Linked DNA regions of Danio rerio. Each later gene encodes a partner of the first gene's protein in a complex. Links are inferred from orthologs where the notes say so. Each region holds a gene or a part of one and is shown in the gene's direction. Other genes may lie near its edges.

Region 1 (4,479 bases):
AATCTTGGATACAACAGTGCGCTTACAAAAATACATTGATACAGCAATCCTATACTTAAACTTAAAACATCCTATTTTATATAGGCTACTCTAGGAAATGTACATAAAATTACACGTACACAATATTAGACTTTAGAGAGACGTTGGTAATCAAGCATCAAGAGAGATGGGATTGCTTAAAATTATCATTTAGTTTGGGGCTAAGTTACAAATCGCATGTAAATTAATGTCTAATTAGGAACACAGAAAAGTTAGAGCAAAAACAATAGCCAAAATTTAATCTAGAAGTTTGGTGTTACGGTCACGTCATGTGCAATTATACTTGCAAAATAAATAAAATTATGTTTTACTGTGCTTCAAAGTGAAGTTGGAGTAATAAAGGAGTCTATTTAACAATTTGAACGACGTAACATTTTTAATTTAATAAGTTAAAATAATAGTGTTAGGTTATTTAAAAAAGGGTCAATTCAGTTTCAAATAGTATTGTTTGTTAGTAATGTACATTATTATACAAGTTCACTTAGCATACATAAAGTACACTTAAAATACTTGATCTTTAAGTACAATTTATTTGCACCTTATTGGCACACTTTTGAATTCATTCATTCATTTTCTTTTCAGCATAGTCCCTTTATTCATCAGGGGTTGCCACAGCAAAATGAACCGCCAACTTATCCAGCATATATTTTATGCATTGGATGCCCTTCCAGCCACAACCCAACACTAGGAAACGCCCATATAGGACAGCCAATTTATTCATTCATTCATTCCTCTACCTTTCGGCTTAATCTGAGGTCGCCACAGCAGAATGAACGGCCAACTTATCCAGCATATGTTTTACACAGTTTGTTCCTTTCTCTCTGCAACCCAGTACTGGCAATCATCTATACACACTCATTCACACACATACACCATACCCAATTCACCTGTACAACATGTCTTTGGACTGTGGGGGAAACCGGACCACCCGGAGGAAACCCACCTGAACATGGGGAGAACATGCAAACTCCACACAGAAATGCCTACTGACCCAGCCAAGGCTTAAACCCTCAACTTTCTTTCTGTGAGGCGATCGTGCTACCCACTGCGCCACTGTGATGCCACCTTTGAATTCATACAAGCAAAATCATTCTGAAGTCTATTCTTATTGTTTTTTTAAAACAGAAATTGTTCAACCTTGACCTCCTGTTTCTCAGTGCTATAAATATGAGAAAAGGCCATGCTCTATTATGTGAAATTAAGGTGTCAAGAGGTCAAGCTGCATGATCTGTTACAAACATCTGATTTCCCACAAAGGGTTTAAATTTAGGCAGAAGTCTAAAATCAGTTAATCATGGCTTTAAAATCGAAGATATAACAGGGACAATAACTCCACAAATGTGGACTTACTCAACTGGCAAATGCAAATCCAGAAGCAAGTGAAGCTGATCACTTCCTCTCTCAGAGCAGAGGCTGGGGGTTGTTCTCTTTCAGACTGCCTCTGCTCAGTTCACAACAGAGACGAGCAGCATTCATGTGTTCACTGCTCACCGTGTTTTGAGGGAGCATGTCCTTCGTAAGCACCCTTCGCCAGTGGGATGAGGCCGTGGCTTGTGTGGAGCAAAGAGACCCAGACGCTGCTCTCAGGATATTCCTCAGTATCGAGGAGAAAAACTCCAAGATCGCTTTCAACATCGGCTGTCTTTGTCTGAACAACAGTGACTTAGATGAAGCTGAAAAGGTACTCTTGTATGGCTGAATCAATGTTTTATACTACTTGATGTTTGAATTGTATTTTGAAAGTCTAAAATATTTGTGGCTGTAAAAAGGAAGTAAAAGTAGTTTTATTCTTTATGGGAAATGTATTTCTGTTTCACACCTGCAGGCTTTTGATGGAAGCATTGGCAAAGATGAACACCTGGCCGTGGCCTTTTTTCAGAGAGGAGTTACATTTTATAAAAAGGAAAAGTAAGATCATTACCTCTTGTCATGACACTTTAAAGGACAGTTCACCCAAATGTTTCTATTAAACACAAAGGAAGATAAACTGAAGACAGTTGAAAAAAAATCAGCCATTGACTTCCATACTATTTTACTATGGATATGCCTATCGGTTTCTTCAGAACATCTTTTTTTGTGTACAACAGAAGTTTGGAATCACTTGAGCGTGAGTAAATGACGAGAATTTAAATTTAAATTTGGTGAACCATCCTATTAAGTAAACGTTTTATGCTGTTCTGATGGCTCAAGGTACTTAAAAGAGTGGTCTAGAGTGTATTTTTAAGGCTTGGATGTGTTTATAAGAAGCAAAGCAATGTGTGATCATGCTTGATTTGTAGAAAATCACATTATTTTTCATATATCTTAATTATACGCTAATACTCAGCTAACATGAAAATGCCCGCCCTCAAGAGGCTCTGATTGGTCAGCTAACATAATGTGCATAATTTGCAAACCAGGAAAAGCATCACGCCTTTAATACTGCACGCTGTGTCTCTGCTTTGTAAATACTGTCGGTCAGAGCCAAATCAGTTTGAGCCTGAATCAAACAGAAAATGAAGAGGACACAGCAGAACCTTACGCCTGCTCTCTAAAATAAAATCTAACAAGTGTCTTTCACATATATTCAGAATAAGCATGTGTGTAATTAATATGAAACATTTGCATATTTTTTGCAAGTTTGTTATTTCAGATGTAGAACACAGGGAAAGCGTCCACATGGAGTTACACTGTAGCGCTGCAAAAGATTGTGACTGTTTACAGAGATTTGATGGAGAAATATGAATTTGTAGCTAAATTGTTAGCGGTTTACATCCTCACTACAACATAATGTTAACGCTTAAAACTGTGCATGTAATAGATCAGTTTTCTCAAATAAAAACACTTACAGGTTGTGGCTCTCAAACCACAGCTTCTTTGATTATGGTTGGAGCTGCTGGTTGGTTTTTAGCCGAACCAGCACTGAACTGGGAGAGATTCAGGAAGTTCTCCTTTGTCAAATGCTAGAGCTATATATTTTCATAATTTTCTGGAATTCCTTGTGCCGTGTCCTTTGGAAGCTTAAATACAGTAACAGAAGATGCTCTGTGAAAATTGCAGTTATTGGATGGCATTTTATCTCTTTTTGCTGTAACATACAGCGCCTCTGGCCACGCCCATTCGCTCTGCAGGGTAAATGCATGTAACCTGAAGCATTTGTGATCTCACTAACCTGGATTTTATTTTTATTTTTTGTAGTCCTCAAATTTTGTTCAATGTCGGCTTTGCTAAGCTAACTCTGTAAAAGCCAATGTCTCTCTTTGCATTGAGCGTATTACAGTCAGAGATGTTGTTTATGTTCACACAGCTACATTACACATCAATTAAAGTTTAAAATGTGATATAGTAGTGGACCGCCGCTTTAAGAGCCGATCACAAAATATCTCATTCCACTTTTAATAAACTGATGATCCTAACCTTCTCTCCAGGTTTGAAGAGTCTCTTCTGGATTTCCAACAAGCATTTAAGCAGTTACGAGGGAATCAACTAATTGATTACACACCTCTGGGGCTGAGATATAAACTTTATGCTTGTGAGGCAAGTCCAGATATTTTTTCAACTTTACTGACTTATTAATAGTTGTGATGTGAGTGACATTTTACACGTCTCCATTTCTGACTTGATGGTTTTTCACAAGAGTTTTCTCCTATATTGCAACATCTGACATTAACAGTCACCTCAGTTCATTCTCTAAAGCAGTCTTTTTGTCTTGTGTAATATTAAGGTGCTGCACAACATTGGACTGGCACAGGCGCAGTTGGGAAAATGGGAAAAAGCTCAAGAGAACCTTCTCACTGCTCTGAGCTTGAGAGCAGATGCCAAGTTCAGCCATATTGATCATGCGCTGGATGCCATTCTGGTCTGTATCTGCTTAACTTTCATTATCATAAACATGATTATCAGTTGCTAGGACTCATAAATTAAATTCCTGTTTTAATTTACAAGTTGGCCCTGAAAGTCATTGAATTATATGTTGACCTAATACTCTGTGGTTCATCTCAAACGTTTTGGTTGTTATATGAGGCAACGAAAGCTTGTTCTTTCGTAACTTGTCTAAAAAGTGGTTATGTTTGGTTTGTTTCACAATCAGAGGTTCTGGTTAGATTTTGAGGGAAGTTGTGTAAGTTTCAGAAAGGTCAAAATTCACGAGACAGATGATTTATACTCCGATATCCTTACATAAGTCATCCTTCTAGTAAAATGAACATCATTCTTTGTACGCATTTTACAGACAAAGTAAATTGTGAAAGTATGAGTCAAGGAAACACCAGAAAACACAGTAAAAGCAATTAAACAGTGAGGTTATATAGCAACAAAAAATTACTAACATGCAGTGCATTGGGACTTCGTTAATGTTTACAATCCAAGTCAAAAATATAGGCCTACATTTTTAACCTGGGTTTAAAAATAGATAAAGCAAGAATTGGAATGAACAAATGAATAATAAAAAAAAAAATATTG
Region 2 (3,682 bases), on another chromosome or scaffold:
AATGGTTTTCGCTGGTATGAAGATGGGACAACCTGACACTCAATGTACATTCACACCCAATCTATAATGAGAATTCGACTAGAAAAAAATGTCCTTGTAGAACTCATAATTACAACTTAACTGTTAACCTGTTAACTGGTGATTTTCTGAGAGCTGTACCATGTTTACAAATTTCACCTTATTGCTTCCAATGTATTTAGGCATTGATAGTATTGCCATATAAATTCAACATTCCACGTCTGAGGGAGAGAAAAGAACCAGTAAGAAGATGTGTTGTCTTATAGAAATTGCAGTAATTACTACATGGGATGAGCACATTGTCATGTGACACCACAGCATTATTATATAACTACAACAACTGACAAAATCAGGCACCGCCCCTCTCCTATTTAAAAAGCCATTTCTGTATCTTTTGATTGTGCATCAAAGCAGGAAAGAAAAGATTAATGGACTTTCATTTCAAGATTTTAAAAAGGTTGAACAGATTAAATAATGAGTGTTCATTTATTCATTCATTTTCCTTCGGCTTAGTCCCTTTATTAATCTGGGGTCGCCACAGTGGAATAAACAGCCAACTTATCCAGTATATGTTTTACACAGCAGATGCCATTCCAGCTGCAACCCAGTACTGGGAAACCTCCATACACACTCATTCACACAAATACACTACAGCCAATTTAGTGTATTCAATTCACCTGTACTGCATGTCTTTGGACTGTGGGAGAAACTCAAACCAGTGACCTTTTTGCTGTGAGGCCACCGTGTCGCTCCATAATAAGTATTTACTGTTTTTAATTAGTCATTTTATTTGCGATCACCTATATAAATAAACTCTTAGAATGATTTTGTGTAGTGTTCATGCAATCTGGACTCACTGTGTTGTCATGTATCATGTAACCTGCTAGCCATTCATTTACCTATAATATATGGTAGCAATACCTAATTTCTAATATCTAATTTACATTAGATTAGTCAGTACCAAAGACAAACTGGAGGAGTCATAACAAAATAACATTCCAAGATAACATTCCAAACATTTTTACAGCCAAATTATTGTTAAGGAAATATTTTAAATAACACTTTAAGAAAGAGGAAAATCATGAGAAACTAAAAAATATATCAAATGTAGTTGAAATATTGTAGGCTGTATTTTTTTTCCTCTCAATATTTTGTTTTAATTGAAATGTTATGCACACTCACCGGTCACTTTATTAGGTACACCTTACTAGTACCAGGTTGGACCCCCTTTTGCCTTCAGAATTGCCTTAATCCTTCGTGGCATACATTTAACAAGGTACTGGAAATATTCCTCCGAGATTTTGGTCCATATTGACTTGAAAGCATCACGCATAGCTGCAGATTTGTTGCCTGCACATCCATAATGTGAATCTCTCATTCCACCACATCCCAAAGGTGCTCTATTGCATTTAAATCCGGTGACTGTGGAGGCCATTTGTGTACAGTGGTCAGCAACAATCCTCAGGTAGGCTGTGGTGTTGACATGATGCTCAATATCTTTTTAAAGTAATACTTTATGTACACTTTATAGCTCACAATACATTGTCTGTTTTATTTGTCAGCTATTATATCATTGGTTCTTATTTATTTAACTTCAACGTTCACAACATAACAGTATGTTGCTGGATGATTGCTAGCCTGTTTCGATGGCAAGAACACTGTGGACTTGCTATGGAAACATCCATTGACCACTCAAGGTCTGCTCGGTGTGACTGCATGGGCTGCTTTGTGTATGGAAACAATGGTATTTGTGATTGTCAGATTAAAAGCCAACATTCAGAGGTCGGACCTTGAAAAGTACAGCAGTCTTTGCACACCTTTTCAAAGCTTTTTCTCCATCTGCTCTGCTCTGCATTTTTCACACTTTCTGAGAGAGCACTGACATTGTTTATGCGCATCGGCTTTAACCAGTGATTCAGCTAGTGCTTTCTGAGAAGATCTTTTCAACAAAAAGACTTTGACATATCCTAAAACGAAGTGAAACAAGGCAGCATGATTTCCCAGGACATTCTTTATTATATAACAAACTTACAAAGAGATTGTGGGATTGGTCATTAAAAAGAAAAAGAAGCTCTGAATAGCTTTAATGTTCGTCTATTTTATAGAAGACAAAAAGAAAGGCTGTATCTAGTCAAGAGATAGATTGATAAACAGCCGAGAATGAAGTGTTTTGATCTGCTCCTCTGCTCCCTCCAGTGGTACCCAGAGGTGAGGCATCACTGCCCTTCCACTCCAATTATCCTGGTTGGCACCAAGCTTGACTTGAGAGATGAGAAGGAGACCATCGAGAAGCTGAAGGAGAAGAAACTGGCACCGATCACTTACCCACAGGGTCTCGCATTGGCCAAAGAAATAGGTGAGGTGGCAGAGCTGGATTTGTCCTTTTTGTAACCCTGGATAAAATTACTCATACCACTTTTCTTTTTTTTTCTTTCTTTTTTTCAAATCTTATTGTGTGTGTTTAAATGTTGTCATGCAACAATGATGCATTAAACTAATCAAAACATTACAGGATATTACACTATTACAAATAACTTATTTAGCTAGATAATGTTCTCTAAAACTTTTTTATTTAACAAAGAATCCTGAAAAATATATCTGTTTCATGGTTTCTATCAAAAAAAATTAAGAAAAATTAACAATATTAACAGTTTTAACTATATTAACAATATTAAGAAATATATGGAGTCCTATTTTTTACCATATGTAATAAGTTATGGCTTTTTATCTCAGCATTGTGAATTAAAATATTTTTCAAGAAGAAAATCAGAATTGGGAGATTTAAGCTGACAATTTTGATAAAATAAACATGCATTTAAATAAAAAATCAGAAGTGCAATGACTTTTTTTAAATGATCGATTTCTGAGGTTATTAATATTCTTTTCTAAATTGTGTGAAAAGTCATTATTTCAAGATAAATAAATAAACCTGAATTCTGAGATGCAAATTTATCAGCTCTTTTACAGTTCTGACTTAATTTCCCTTTGTGGAAAAATGGCTTCCAAAGAAATTCATTTATTTTCCTTCGACTTAGTCTCTATTTTAGAGGTTGCCATAGTAGAGGAGTGAACTGCCAGCTATAGACATGCGGCCTCCATTTTAAAAGCAACAGCGATGCTGCAGGGGAAAGAAACCCGGAAGTATCACCTGGAGTCAGACAGGAATGGTGCCTTCGATGGCATATTGTTGAGTACCTCGCTGTATATCTTATTAGCAAAAAAAAGACACAAATTTATCATTTTACCAATTTCCAAGTGAACCGAAGGTTCGTTCTGAATGGATGGTGAAAATAAAAAGGGATATCGGACCTAATTTTCAGCTAAGTTAAGAGAAATGGCACTAGTTAGCTAAAGTTTTTTTTTTCCAAACACATGTTTTAGATGACATTTATCAAGTTCAAGTTAATGAAATAATTAATTCTTTCACTATATTAGACTTTTCACGATACTGAATTTGGGTACTAAAATTTAAATAAAAACGTAAATTTCCCGCTAACATTTAAGCACTGTTGTGCGCGTCTTAAACGCAGATGATTTGCCGTAGATAGTATTCACCAGTGCTCAACAGAAATGACTGTGATTGGCCGTGAAGGTCATCAGTTCACTGGACTTAACAGATGTTTACCAAATGCAAACACAGACGAGTGATCTGCTGATGAATCAA

Evidence for each region. The genes of interacting proteins can lie anywhere in the genome.
Region 2: ncf2 (region 1) and rac2 share a complex: the UniProt entries of both Homo sapiens proteins name them as parts of the phagocyte NADPH oxidase complex. The link is inferred for Danio rerio from reciprocal best matches to the Homo sapiens genes NCF2 and RAC2.

Annotation. Positions count from the first base shown.
Region 1 is NC_133182.1:41,684,515-41,688,993, reverse strand, and holds the start of ncf2 (neutrophil cytosol factor 2), read left to right. Parts: upstream 1-1,504; 5' UTR 1,505-1,546; coding exon 1,547-1,720; intron 1,721-1,864; coding exon 1,865-1,947; intron 1,948-3,446; coding exon 3,447-3,555; intron 3,556-3,742; coding exon 3,743-3,877; intron 3,878-4,479. UniProt on the Homo sapiens protein: Subunit of the phagocyte NADPH oxidase complex that mediates the transfer of electrons from cytosolic NADPH to O2 to produce the superoxide anion (O2(-)).
Region 2 is NC_133178.1:28,282,507-28,286,188, forward strand, and holds part of rac2 (ras-related C3 botulinum toxin substrate 2), read left to right. Parts: intron 1-2,214; coding exon 2,215-2,374; intron 2,375-3,682. UniProt on the Homo sapiens protein: Plasma membrane-associated small GTPase which cycles between an active GTP-bound and inactive GDP-bound state.